Linked DNA regions of Xenopus tropicalis. The protein of the gene in region 2 interacts with the protein of the main gene of each other region in a pairwise test. Links are inferred from orthologs where the notes say so. Each region holds a gene or a part of one and is shown on either strand. Other genes may lie near its edges.

Region 1 (3,752 bases), on a different chromosome or scaffold from region 2:
TAGGCCATAAAAAAAGTTAACTTCCCCTTTAAGATACTGACCGTGGAGCAAACCATCACTAAGAACAAAGGGGGGAGTTCTGGTTGGTACCGGCGGTTCCTCTATTAAGGATGGTGTTAGTGAGACTGGCTCCGCCCACAGTTTGAGACCCTCTGCCCAATAACCATGGGGAGGGCTCGCCTTTGGGAAAAGGAACCTAAGCCCAGGTTAACCCTTCCCTAACCAGCACAGCACAATACATGCACCTGCACAGGCAGCAAATGGAAACATAGGGTTAATGGTGAATGAGCCAATCAGGTGCTCACACTGTAGCAGCGCAGGGGACTGGGGGACACTTACCTACACACATCCTCTTCCTCTGCGCCATACAGTCCGGCATCTGCACTGTCCCCTGTGCCCACAGACATGGCTCCCTGGAAGGGAAGGGACACATTATTCTATGCACCCACTCACAGACATGGCTCCCTGGAAGGGAAGGGGCAGGGTAATGGCCGGGCTACTGGGCATATGGGCAGGGTAATGGCCGGGCTACTGGGCATATGGGCAGGGTAATGGCCCGGCTACTGGGCATACGGGCAGGGTAATGGCCCGGCTACTGGGCATACGGGCAGGGTAATGGCCCGGCTACTGGGCATACGGGCAGGGTAATGGCCCGGCTACTGGGCATACGGGCAGGGTAATGGCCCGGCTACTGGGCATACGGGCAGGGTAATGGCCCGGCTACTGGGCATACGGGCAGGGTAATGGCCCGGCTACTGGGCATACGGGCAGGGTAATGGCCCGGCTACTGGGCATACGGGGCAGGGTAATGGCCCGGCTACTGGGCATACGGGCAGGGGTAATGGCCGGGCTACTGGGCATACGGGCAGGGTAATGGCCGGGCTACTGGGCATACGGGCAGGGTAATGGCAGCGCTACTGGGCATACGGGCAGGGTAATGGCCGGGCTACTGGGCATACGGGCAGGGTAATGGCCGCGCTACTGGGCATATGGGCAGGGTAATGGCAGCGCTACTGGGCATACGGGCAGGGTAATGGCCCGGCTACTGGGCATACGGGTAGGGTAATGGCCCGGCTACTGGGCATACGGGCAGGGTAATGGCCGGGCTACTGGGCATACGGGCAGGGTAATGGCCGGGCTACTGGGCATACGGGCAGGGTAATGGCCGGGCTACTGGGCATACGGGCAGGGTAATGGCCGGGCTACTGGGCATATGGGCAGGGTAATGGCAGCGCTACTGGGCATATGGGCAGGGTAATGGCCGGGCTACTGGGCATACGGGCAGGGTAATGGCCCGGCTACTGGGCATATGGGCAGGGTAATGGCAGTGCTACTGGGCATATGGGCAGGGTAATGGCCCGGCTACTGGGCATACGGGCAGGGTAATGGCAGCGCTACTGGGCATACGGGCAGGGTAATGGCAGCGCTACTGGGCATACGGGCAGGGTAATGGCCGGGCTACTGGGCATACGGGCAGGGTAATGGCCGGGCTACTGGGCATATGGGCAGGGTAATGGCAGCGCTACTGGGCATATGGGCAGGGTAATGGCCGGGCTACTGGGCATATGGGCAGGGTAATGGCAGGGCTACTGGGCATATGGGCAGGGTAATGGCCCGGCTACTGGGCATACGGGCAGGGTAATGGCCGGGCTACTGGGCATACGGGCAGGGTAATGGCCCGGCTACTGGGCATACGGGCAGGGTAATGGCCCGGCTACTGGGCATATGGGCAGGGTAATGGCCGGGCTACTGGGCATATGGGCAGGGTAATGGCCGGGCTACTGGGCATATGGGCAGGGTAATGGCAGCGCTACTGGGCATATGGGCAGGGTAATGGCCCGGCTACTGGGCATATGGGCAGGGTAATGGCCGGGCTACTGGGCATATGGGCAGGGTAATGGCCGGGCTACTGGGCATACGGGCAGGGTAATGGCACCGCTACTGGGCATACGGGCAGGGTAATGGCAGGGCTACTGGGCATATGGGCAGGGTAATGGCCGGGCTACTGGGCATACGGGCAGGGTAATGGCACCGCTACTGGGCATATGGGCAGGGTAATGGCCGGGCTACAGCATTGTGCCAGTTGGACCCGAACCCCTGGCAGTATATTGGGCCAGACATTGGCTGTAGCTCCAGCCTTTCCCACCTCCTCATAGGAATATTATTACTGCCCCCCCCCCCCATATGTGTCGGTAGGTAAGTCGGTAGGTAGGTAAGTCGGTAGGTAGGTAAGTCGGTAGGTAGGTCGGTAAGTCGGTAGGTAAGTCAGTAGGTCGGTCGGTAGGTAAGTCGGTAGGTAGGTACGTAGGTAGGTAGGTCGGTAAGTCGGTAGGTAAGTCAGTAGGTCGGTAGGTAGGTAAGTCGGTAGGTAGGTCGGTAAGTCGGTAGGTAGGTCGGTAGGTAAGTCGGTAGGTAAGTCGGTAGGTAGGTAAGTCGGTAGGTAAGTCGGTAGGTAGGTAAGTACGTAGGTAGGTCGGTACGTAGGTAGGTCGGTAGGTGGGTCGGTCGGTAGGTGGGTAGGTCGGTAGATTCCCCTTCCTTTCTGCCATCAACTACAAACAAGCCGGAGAGCCCCCGGGGCAGCAGCGTAACAGTGACCCCTCCCTCTCCCCCAACTCACCGATACTCCCGGTATTCCCCTCTTCCGCAATCCTCCTCTCTACCGGAACCTCCGCAACTCTGTAGGTCACTCGCCGGAAGTACCCGTCCCCATAGCAACGCCCAGCCGGAACAAGCCCGGAACCTTATACCCACAATCCCCAGCTCCTCCCCTTACCCCAGGTCTAACCCTCCCACAATCCCCAGCTCCTCCCCTTACCCCAGGGCTAACCCTCCCACAATCCCCAGCGCCTCCCCTTACCCCAGGTCTAACCCTCCCACAATCCCCAGCTCCTCCCCTTACCCCAGGGCTAACCCTCCCACAATCCCCAGCGCCTCCCCTTACCCCAGGGCTAACCCTCCCACAATCCCCAGCGCCTCCCCTTACCCCAGGGCTAACCCTCCCACAATCCCCAGCTCCTCCCCTTACCCCAGGGCTAACCCTCCCACAATCCCCAGCTCCTCCCCTTACCCCAGGTCTAACCCTCCCACAATCCCCAGCTCCTCCCCTTACCCCAGGTCTAACCCTCCACAATCCCCAGCTCCTCCCCTTACCCCAGGGCTAACCCTCCCACAATCCCCAGCTCCTCCCCTTACCCCAGGTCTAACCCTCCCACAATCCCCAGCTCCTCCCCTTACCCCAGGGCTAACCCTCCCACAATCCCCAGCTCCTCCCCTCACCCCAGGGCTAACCCTCCCACAATCCCCAGCTCCTCCCCTTACCCCAGGGCTAACCCTCCCACAATCCCCAGCGCCTCCCCTTACCCCAGGGCTAACCCTCCCACAATCCCCAGCTCCTCCCCTTACCCCAGGGCTAACCCTCCCACAATCCCCAGCTCCTCCCCTTACCCCAGGTCTAACCCTCCCACAATCCCCAGCGCCTCCCCTTACCCCAGGGCTAACCCTCCCACAATCCCCAGCTCCTCCCCTTACCCCAGGTCTAACCCTCCCACAATCCCCAGCTCCTCCCCTTACCCCAGGGCTAACCCTCCCACAATCCCCAGCTTCCTCCCCTTACCCCAGGTCTAACCCTCCCACAATCGCCAGCGCCTCCCCTTACCCCAGGACTAACCCTCCCACCAATCCCCAGCTCCTCCCCTTACCCCAGGGCTAACCCTCCCACAATCCCCAGCTCCTCCCCTTACCCCAGGTCT
Region 2 (3,652 bases):
ACGTTTACCTGCAAGCTTCTAAATAAAAGTATCATAATGTTTAGTTAACAAAAGGTCTTTGTTCTACTAAATACATAAAAAGTGAATTATGGACGGTTATTTATGCAAAATGTATTATATATTAGATTCGCATAGATTGCTTCATTCTCTATCAAGGCTGTAATCAAAGCTGGGCAAGGTTTGTTTTTTCCTCTGCAAACTTTCAGCCATTACTGGTTTGTATTTGGTTTGTATCTACTGGTTTATATCTGCCACAATTGGGCTAATACCCAAGTGACAGCACTGGAAGGCAATAAGAATTATGAAAGAAAGAAAAGAACAATGGCTCTCATATGAAACTGAATCTGCAAGCAGGTTAAAGTCGGCTATATTATGGGCTAAACGAGGGGATCTTTCACCACTTTGTCAACCTAAGGTGGGCAATATTAGGCCGATTCAATTGCTTGGCCCGAGTGCAAAACGACTGGATCTCAACAAATGAGATTTGGGTCAAAGACCCCATCAACAAGACGACAAGGTCCTCAACTTGAAGGGGAAATCAAACCTGCCCTTCAACATATACTTCATTTTTGGTGTTACAATATATATTGGTTGCTTCATCGATTGTAGGTCCTTTTCACTTTATACTGTTCCATCATTTAGGCTGTTAGAGCAAACAAACAGACCAACAGAAAGGTGCCCATACGGAGTATAGCCACTCATTTAGTATCAGTCTATCACCCAGCTGATCAGATATAGGCAGGTATATGGCAGCCTTTAGGAACACATTTATAGCTGCAAAAGTAGGCTCTATAACAGGAATAACACTACACATTTATTTCTCAACATTTGCCCACTTGACAGCTGAACAGAAACAGTTTGAAAAGCAAATACAATTACTTCAAACTTAAATAAGGAAACCTAAACAGAGACAGGTAGGGTGCCATTAACATATTAAATACTGCTGCACAGAGACCCTGAAGACCCCTCCCAGAGTTCCTGCCCCTTTTGTTGTATCTGCTCCTTAGCCTATTCAAGACCATTCTGTTTTTCACAGGCCATTAATTACTAGGAATTTGTCCAGCTAAGACCTAACCCTAATGTGCCATAGGCAAAACACTTCCCTCTTTAACTTCACTATTACATATGGGTCACCAATCTGTTAGGTAAAGTTTCCACTAACAGTAACAAAAATGGAATCAAAATATGGTATATAAATGCAAATGCAGAATTTCTAGGCTTCCTGAGAATAAGTTTAAAGGAATACTGTTATGAGAAAACTTGTTTTTTCCCAAAACCCATCAGTTAATAGAGCTTCTCCAGCAGAATCCTGCACTGAAGTCTGTTTTTCAAAAACACATTGTTTTATATTTAATTTTGAAATTTCACATGGGGCTAGCCATATTCTTCATTTCCCAGGGTGCCACACCAATGTGACCTGCACCCTGATAAACTTCAGTCACACTTTACTTCTACGCTGCAAATTGGAGTGATCCCCTCCCCCCCCAGCAGCCGATCAGCAGAACAATTGGAACGGCAGCAAGATAGCAGCTCCCAGTAGGTATAAGAATAGCACTCAATAGTAAGAAATCCAAGTCCGGCTTGGGACTCTTCCAGTTACATAGGAGAAACAATAGGTTAGCTGAAAGCAGTTCTAATGAGTAGCGCTGGCTCCTTCTGAAAGCTCAGACTCAGGCACAATGCACTGAGATGGTGCCTACACACCAATATTACAGCTAAAAAAATCCATTTGTTGGTTTAAGGAAAAAAAATTAAATGGTAGAGGGAATTATTTGCTATGTTAACAGTGTAATTTAGAAATAAAAAGTACATCAAAAAAATTATGACAGTATCCCTTTAAGAAACACCAGTATAGACTTACTTTCTTCGTCGATTTGTCTCTATGCTTAATTTCTGCGCTCGAATTCGACATAATTTTTGTTCTTCCAGCAACTCCTGTCTTTCTTCATCCAAGTTTATTTCCAGATGTGATTTTTGGTTTCTTAAAGCAGGACTGAGTTAAGGGATATGTCTTGATTGATAAATGTAAATGCTTATACATTTGACTTTGTTGTTGTTTATAATGGTAAATTGAAACTATCAGCTTTCAGCAAAATATTCATTCGTACTGCCCAATTCTCACCCTTACTGGCCAACTCTAAAGGTGGCCATACACGGACCGATTCTAGCTGCTGATATTGGTCCATTAGACCAATTCGGCAGGTTATCAGCCTGTGTATGGGCACTAACGACGGGCCCGCGCGAGCGATATCTGGCCTAAAATCGGGCAGGTTTGATTTTTCATTGGATCAGGGACCGCATTGGCTCGTTGATGCCTGGACCAAAATATTAATTGTTCATTTATATTAAAGGGGTTGTTCACCTTTGAATTAACTTTTAGTTTGATGCAATGTTTTATTATATGTGGTTTTTAAATTATTACTCTATTTGTTCAACAGCTCTCCAGTTTGGAATTTTAGCAGCTATCTGGATGCTAGGGTCCAAATTACCCTGGCAACCAAGCAGTGATGTGAGTGAGACATTGGAATATGAATAAGAGAGGGCCTGAACAGAAAGAAAAGTAATAAAATATATCAACAACAATAAAATAGTAGCCTCACAGACTAATAGTTCTAGGGTCAGTGACCCCCATTTGAAAGCTGGAAGAAGTTGGAAGAAAAAGGCTAATAATTTAGAAACTATAACAAATAAAAAATGAAGACCAATTGAAAAGTTGCTTGCCATTCTATAACATACTAAAAGTTAATTTGAAAATGAACTGCTCCTTTAGGTAACAACCTATAATTATGTCACAGATGAGCTACAATGGTACATGTGTAAACTCATCAGCTAGCTTTTCCTTCACCAGCATCTCACCATGCTTATACATATGATAAAATGGTTTGTTCTTCCTGCCTTGACAATTGCTTGTCTGTTTACTCATTTGAAAATCACAATTGCTTGCTACATCGTAAAGCATGACTTCACTGCTCCCCACAGGGCATAGTAGACATCAGTCATATTAATATCATAAAGTATCCTGAATTGTCAAGGAACAAAGCAGCCTTGTAGTTTTATTAATAGATTATACAGACTTATAGACTTAATTATAGAACACAAAGTTTCTGCAGCACTACAACACATCATTCAACGCTGTACAAATAAAAGGTTTGACTTTGAAGTGTGACGTAATGGCAGCCGCACAATGAGAAATATTTGCAATATAGTTTTAGCTAGATCAACGCTCGAATGCTGCAATTCAAATTTTAGTAAAATGCAGACAGTGATATTCTAATACAATCTGCAATTTTTTAAATGAACGATTTAGCTTTTTTGATCAGCAACTCTCCAGTTTGGAATGTCAACTGCTATCTGATTGCTAGGATCACGTTTACCTTAGCAAGCAGGTAGTGGTCTGAATGAGAGCCCTGGAAGATGCCTAGGAGAGGATCTGAATAGAAAAATAAGCGATAAAAAGTAACAATAATAACAACACTGTAGTGGTATGGAGCAAAAAAATTTTGGCTGCTGGTGTCAGTCACCCCCAGAAACTATAAAAAATTATCATATATACCAAAAAAGGGGTAGGAACTCAAGAAATCACGTAGGTCACCAAAAAGTATAATAAAAACTAGGGATGCACCGAATCCAGGATTCTGCCTTCTTCAGCAGG
Region 3 (3,752 bases), on a different chromosome or scaffold from region 2:
ACAACAAATCCTGTATCTTTTAACAGAGAACTCAGTGCAGCGTTTCTGTGAGTGCTTATGGCTGTATTTACATAGACCTTTCTGATAAAGCTTACTTAGTTTTTACCTTTCCTTCTCCTTTAATGCTAATGTTATTAATAGGGAAAATAGCTAAAAATATAGGAAGGCCAGCATCTTTTTCGAGAAAAGGTGGCAACCCTAGTGCATACCTCCCAACTGTCCCGATTTTCGCGGGACAGTCTCTCTTTTGGCAGCTCAGCCTGCAGTCCCAGATTCTTACTGAAAAGTCCCTCATTTCCCTTTGATCTTCTGCACTGAAGCTAATTTAATTAAAAGTAGCTTTTGGCAGAGACCCCACTTAGATACATTGCACTTAGATACATTGTTTCTCACATTTAATGAAATAAGTGGGCTTTTGGCAAAGAACCCAGAAAGGTAAAGAGCCCCCCCCTGCACTGAGATACAAGTGTAACTAATAAGCTAAACAGACCTCTTGGGGGAACTGAGACTTGCAACTTAAAGGACAATTTCATCTTTTCAGCAAAACTATAACACATAAAACAAAACCCCCAGAAATGTAAACAAACTATAACCTGCCAAATGGGAGTGGTATTTAGGGGGTGTGGTCGCAAAAAAACGGGCGTGGTCACAAAGTAGCTGTGCTCTGCATTTTTTTTTGTCCCGCTTTCCATTTTCAAAATGTTGGAAGGTATGCTAGTGTAAGTCTGAGCTGGGGCGGGGAGTTTTGCCATAATCTTGAGCTCATTATTGTGTTCAGCACGCAAAAGACTTTACATATAATCATAAAAGCACGAAACAACATGCTGTTAGTTATGTACATAACATTTGAACCATATAAAGTTCGCCACACATTATTTCACCCCATGTCAAGCACTAATATTACACAAGATGGCGCTGACGCACCATTAGGAAATAGAGAAATACGCTTTCCGTTGCTTTTTTTTTTTACTACACCCAAACAACCATCTTGGCTTATAAGCAATGGACATGCCTTCAGAAAATGGCGCATAAAATAGCGATCCCTATTGGTGAGGATGCGGCTGCAAATAATTTCCACTTCCGGGGTGAAGTTAGACTGATATTTTCGTCATGGGCGAGGGGCGTATTTAGCTTTTCTGCGTTAGAGCAGGGATTCTCCTCCAGTTTATGCCATGCTAGAGCTAGATACCGGCCCCTGATAGTGAAATGGCGTGGGTACGCACCGCTTTGGAAATCCAGCAGCTTGGAGGGGAGGCAGAGGTGTTTGATGAAGATGGAGACGAGATGCGCCTTTTGCAGCGAGATTGGCAGCTGTCCATGGAGAAGAGAATTAAGGTATTCGGGAGATAGTTAGACTAACATAGCGAGTTTGGGGGCCCCTTTCTAGGCATTGCCCTATTTTACTGGTAAGTGATTTCATGTGCTCCTGGTTACCTACCCCAAGGCATACATTGAGAAGCAGGTTTTCTGGGAATTACAAGGAGGTTGGTAAAAGCGGGGCTCTGTTTTACCTCAGGGCACTGCTGTGTTATGGAGCACTCGCATCGGGGTTTCAATGTTTGTCGCAGGAATTCGGCATTTCTTCTAAACACACACATGTTCTTTCTGTGTGGCCCAAATAGCTAGTCAGTAGTAGTTCAATATAGCACACTTTATTAATTATAATCAAGAGTAATGTGCTAATAAAGTTAGTCCGTTCATTGAAGGTCAGTGGAGTTTGCCCTAATTCAAGACTAACCTACCTCATTTCTCTGCCTTGTCATTGCTTTATACACAACTTTCTTACCTGCACCCAAGCTGTGATTCGGGGAAAGTAGAATAATCACTCCCATTTCAGAACTTTATCAGTCGTTACACAAGTAACTCATTATGAAGTTACTGGTTGACCAGGTTACACTAATTCGGGGATCTTTTTGTGAGCCACAGTCAAATGTAAAAAGACTTGGAGAGCAACACAAGCATCATAAAAGTTCATGAAGGTGCCAAATAAGGGCTGTAATTGGCTATTAGGCAGCCTCTATGCACACTATCAGCTTACAGGAGACTTTATTTGGTAGTAAATCTTGTTTTTACTCAACCAAAACTTGCCCCCAAGTCAGGAATTCAAAAATCACTACCTGGTTTGAGGCCTTGGGGAGCAACGTGTTGCTCACAAGGCACTTGTTGGGGATCACTGCACTAATTAGTCCCATGTCCTACCCACCTACACATTAACCCTTTCACTGCAAGCAGATTTGGTCACAACAGAACGTTTATTGCCAGACAGTTTTTGAACATTTTGCGCTCTTTCACTTTAGAGGCCTTTTCTCAGGGTGGACTTTTAGCTTACCCAGGAAAACAATATATTTTTTTCAGGGCAATCTAAGCTTTCACAATATGCTAGAATTTTTGTGTAATGCCACTTCTATAACAATATAGGCTTCTAAATATCTATATTTAAGTGTATGTGCTTGGCAGATAGAGCCTTTTACTGCCAGCACATACAGCCTACGTGCTTGGCAGTGAAAGGGTTAAAATGGCAGGGAAAAAAATGTACCGTATCCACCAGTATATTGTCTGTTGGATATGTAGGATGCAGTAGGCATGGAGTTTTAAGTTTAAATTAATTTTAGGTTACAGATGAAAACTATTTTAACTGCTTTAATTTTGTGGAATGCTTGTTTAGTTTGAATTTCTATTCTTGTATTCGTAGGAGGGCTACGTTGATGGAATAGAGGCTGGGAAAGAAAATTCTCTACAAACAGGGTTTAATTTTGGATATAAAGTTGGAGTGAACCTGCTAAAGCATTACGGAGAGCTTAAAGGGATCTTAAGGTAAGTTGTATTGTATTTTATCTTCACTTCTCCAGTTATTTCCGACAGCTTTTCAGTCACGGGAATTACAAATGTTTAATGTGTCAAAATGCTCAGGGTGCTTTTATAAGCAGTATTAATTTTTCAGTTTTAGAGCTATTTAAGTTTTTATTAACTGCCAAAATAATAAAGTTTGTAACATCACTGCCTTCTGGTTATTTCCTGCAGTTGTACAGTCAAAGAGAGCTACCTTTTTAATAAAAAAAAAAAACAAATATTGTGCTGTTGCTTTGCTTAGGAAGGAGATGGGAAAAGGCAATTGGGGCTTCTGATCGCTTTCCTGTTTCTGTTCTGAATGTAAGGTTTGTATGTCTTTGACTGTACAATTTCAAGAACTGAGGTAGCAATATTACAAAATTCATTATATTGGCAGTTAATAAAGACTTAAATAGCGCTGAAAGATTTAACATTACATATTTTTAAGAATTGTATATATTTTTGGCAGTTCAGAAGTTTCTACACTTTTGTTATATAAGCACAAAACTGAATTATCTCATGTGAAAAAAGGGGGGCTTTTTCCCCTTTAAAGGGTTTCTTGTCACGGCTACTAAACACCAGAAAATCCCCTGCCATAGAAAATAGAGAATTGCCTCTGCTAAAACACATGTAGAGACAGTTATCAGTAAATGATCAGCATTGTCTGTTTTAGTAGCTGCAACAAGTAGCCGCTACTAGTAGCTCCGTGTGTCTTCACCCTTACAGGAAGAGCAACATTTTTTTTTTTTCTCTAATTTTGATAATTGACAGCCATGTGACTTGTGCTTCGATAAACTTCAGTCACTCTTTTAATTAAGTATTTTGCAACCTACTGCTAGCTCTTCACAAATTTGTAAAATATTTTAAATCTTAAATTGTCAATGTTGATGTTTTACTTACTGCAAACGTGATAGAAGAATGAG

The links.
Region 1: the proteins of cep126 (region 2) and hmox2 interact in a two-hybrid assay, tested with the Homo sapiens proteins (2 studies listed by BioGRID and IntAct). The link is inferred for Xenopus tropicalis from reciprocal best matches to the Homo sapiens genes CEP126 and HMOX2.
Region 3: the proteins of cep126 (region 2) and yae1 interact in a two-hybrid assay, tested with the Homo sapiens proteins (2 studies listed by BioGRID and IntAct). The link is inferred for Xenopus tropicalis from reciprocal best matches to the Homo sapiens genes CEP126 and YAE1.

Annotation. Positions count from the first base shown.
Region 1 is NC_030685.2:302,117-305,868, reverse strand, and holds the start of hmox2 (heme oxygenase 2), read right to left. Parts: upstream 2,710-3,752; 5' UTR 2,621-2,709; intron 414-2,620; 5' UTR 408-413; coding exon 340-407; intron 1-339.
Region 2 is NC_030678.2:162,394,692-162,398,343, forward strand, and holds part of cep126 (centrosomal protein of 126 kDa), read right to left. Parts: intron 1,982-3,652; coding exon 1,862-1,981; intron 1-1,861. UniProt on the Homo sapiens protein: Participates in cytokinesis. Necessary for microtubules and mitotic spindle organization. Involved in primary cilium formation.
Region 3 is NC_030682.2:64,477,038-64,480,789, forward strand, and holds the start of yae1 (protein YAE1 homolog), read left to right. Parts: upstream 1-1,069; 5' UTR 1,070-1,206; coding exon 1,207-1,335; intron 1,336-2,692; coding exon 2,693-2,814; intron 2,815-3,752. UniProt on the Homo sapiens protein: The complex LTO1:YAE1 functions as a target specific adapter that probably recruits apo-ABCE1 to the cytosolic iron-sulfur protein assembly (CIA) complex machinery. May be required for biogenesis of the large ribosomal subunit and initiation of translation.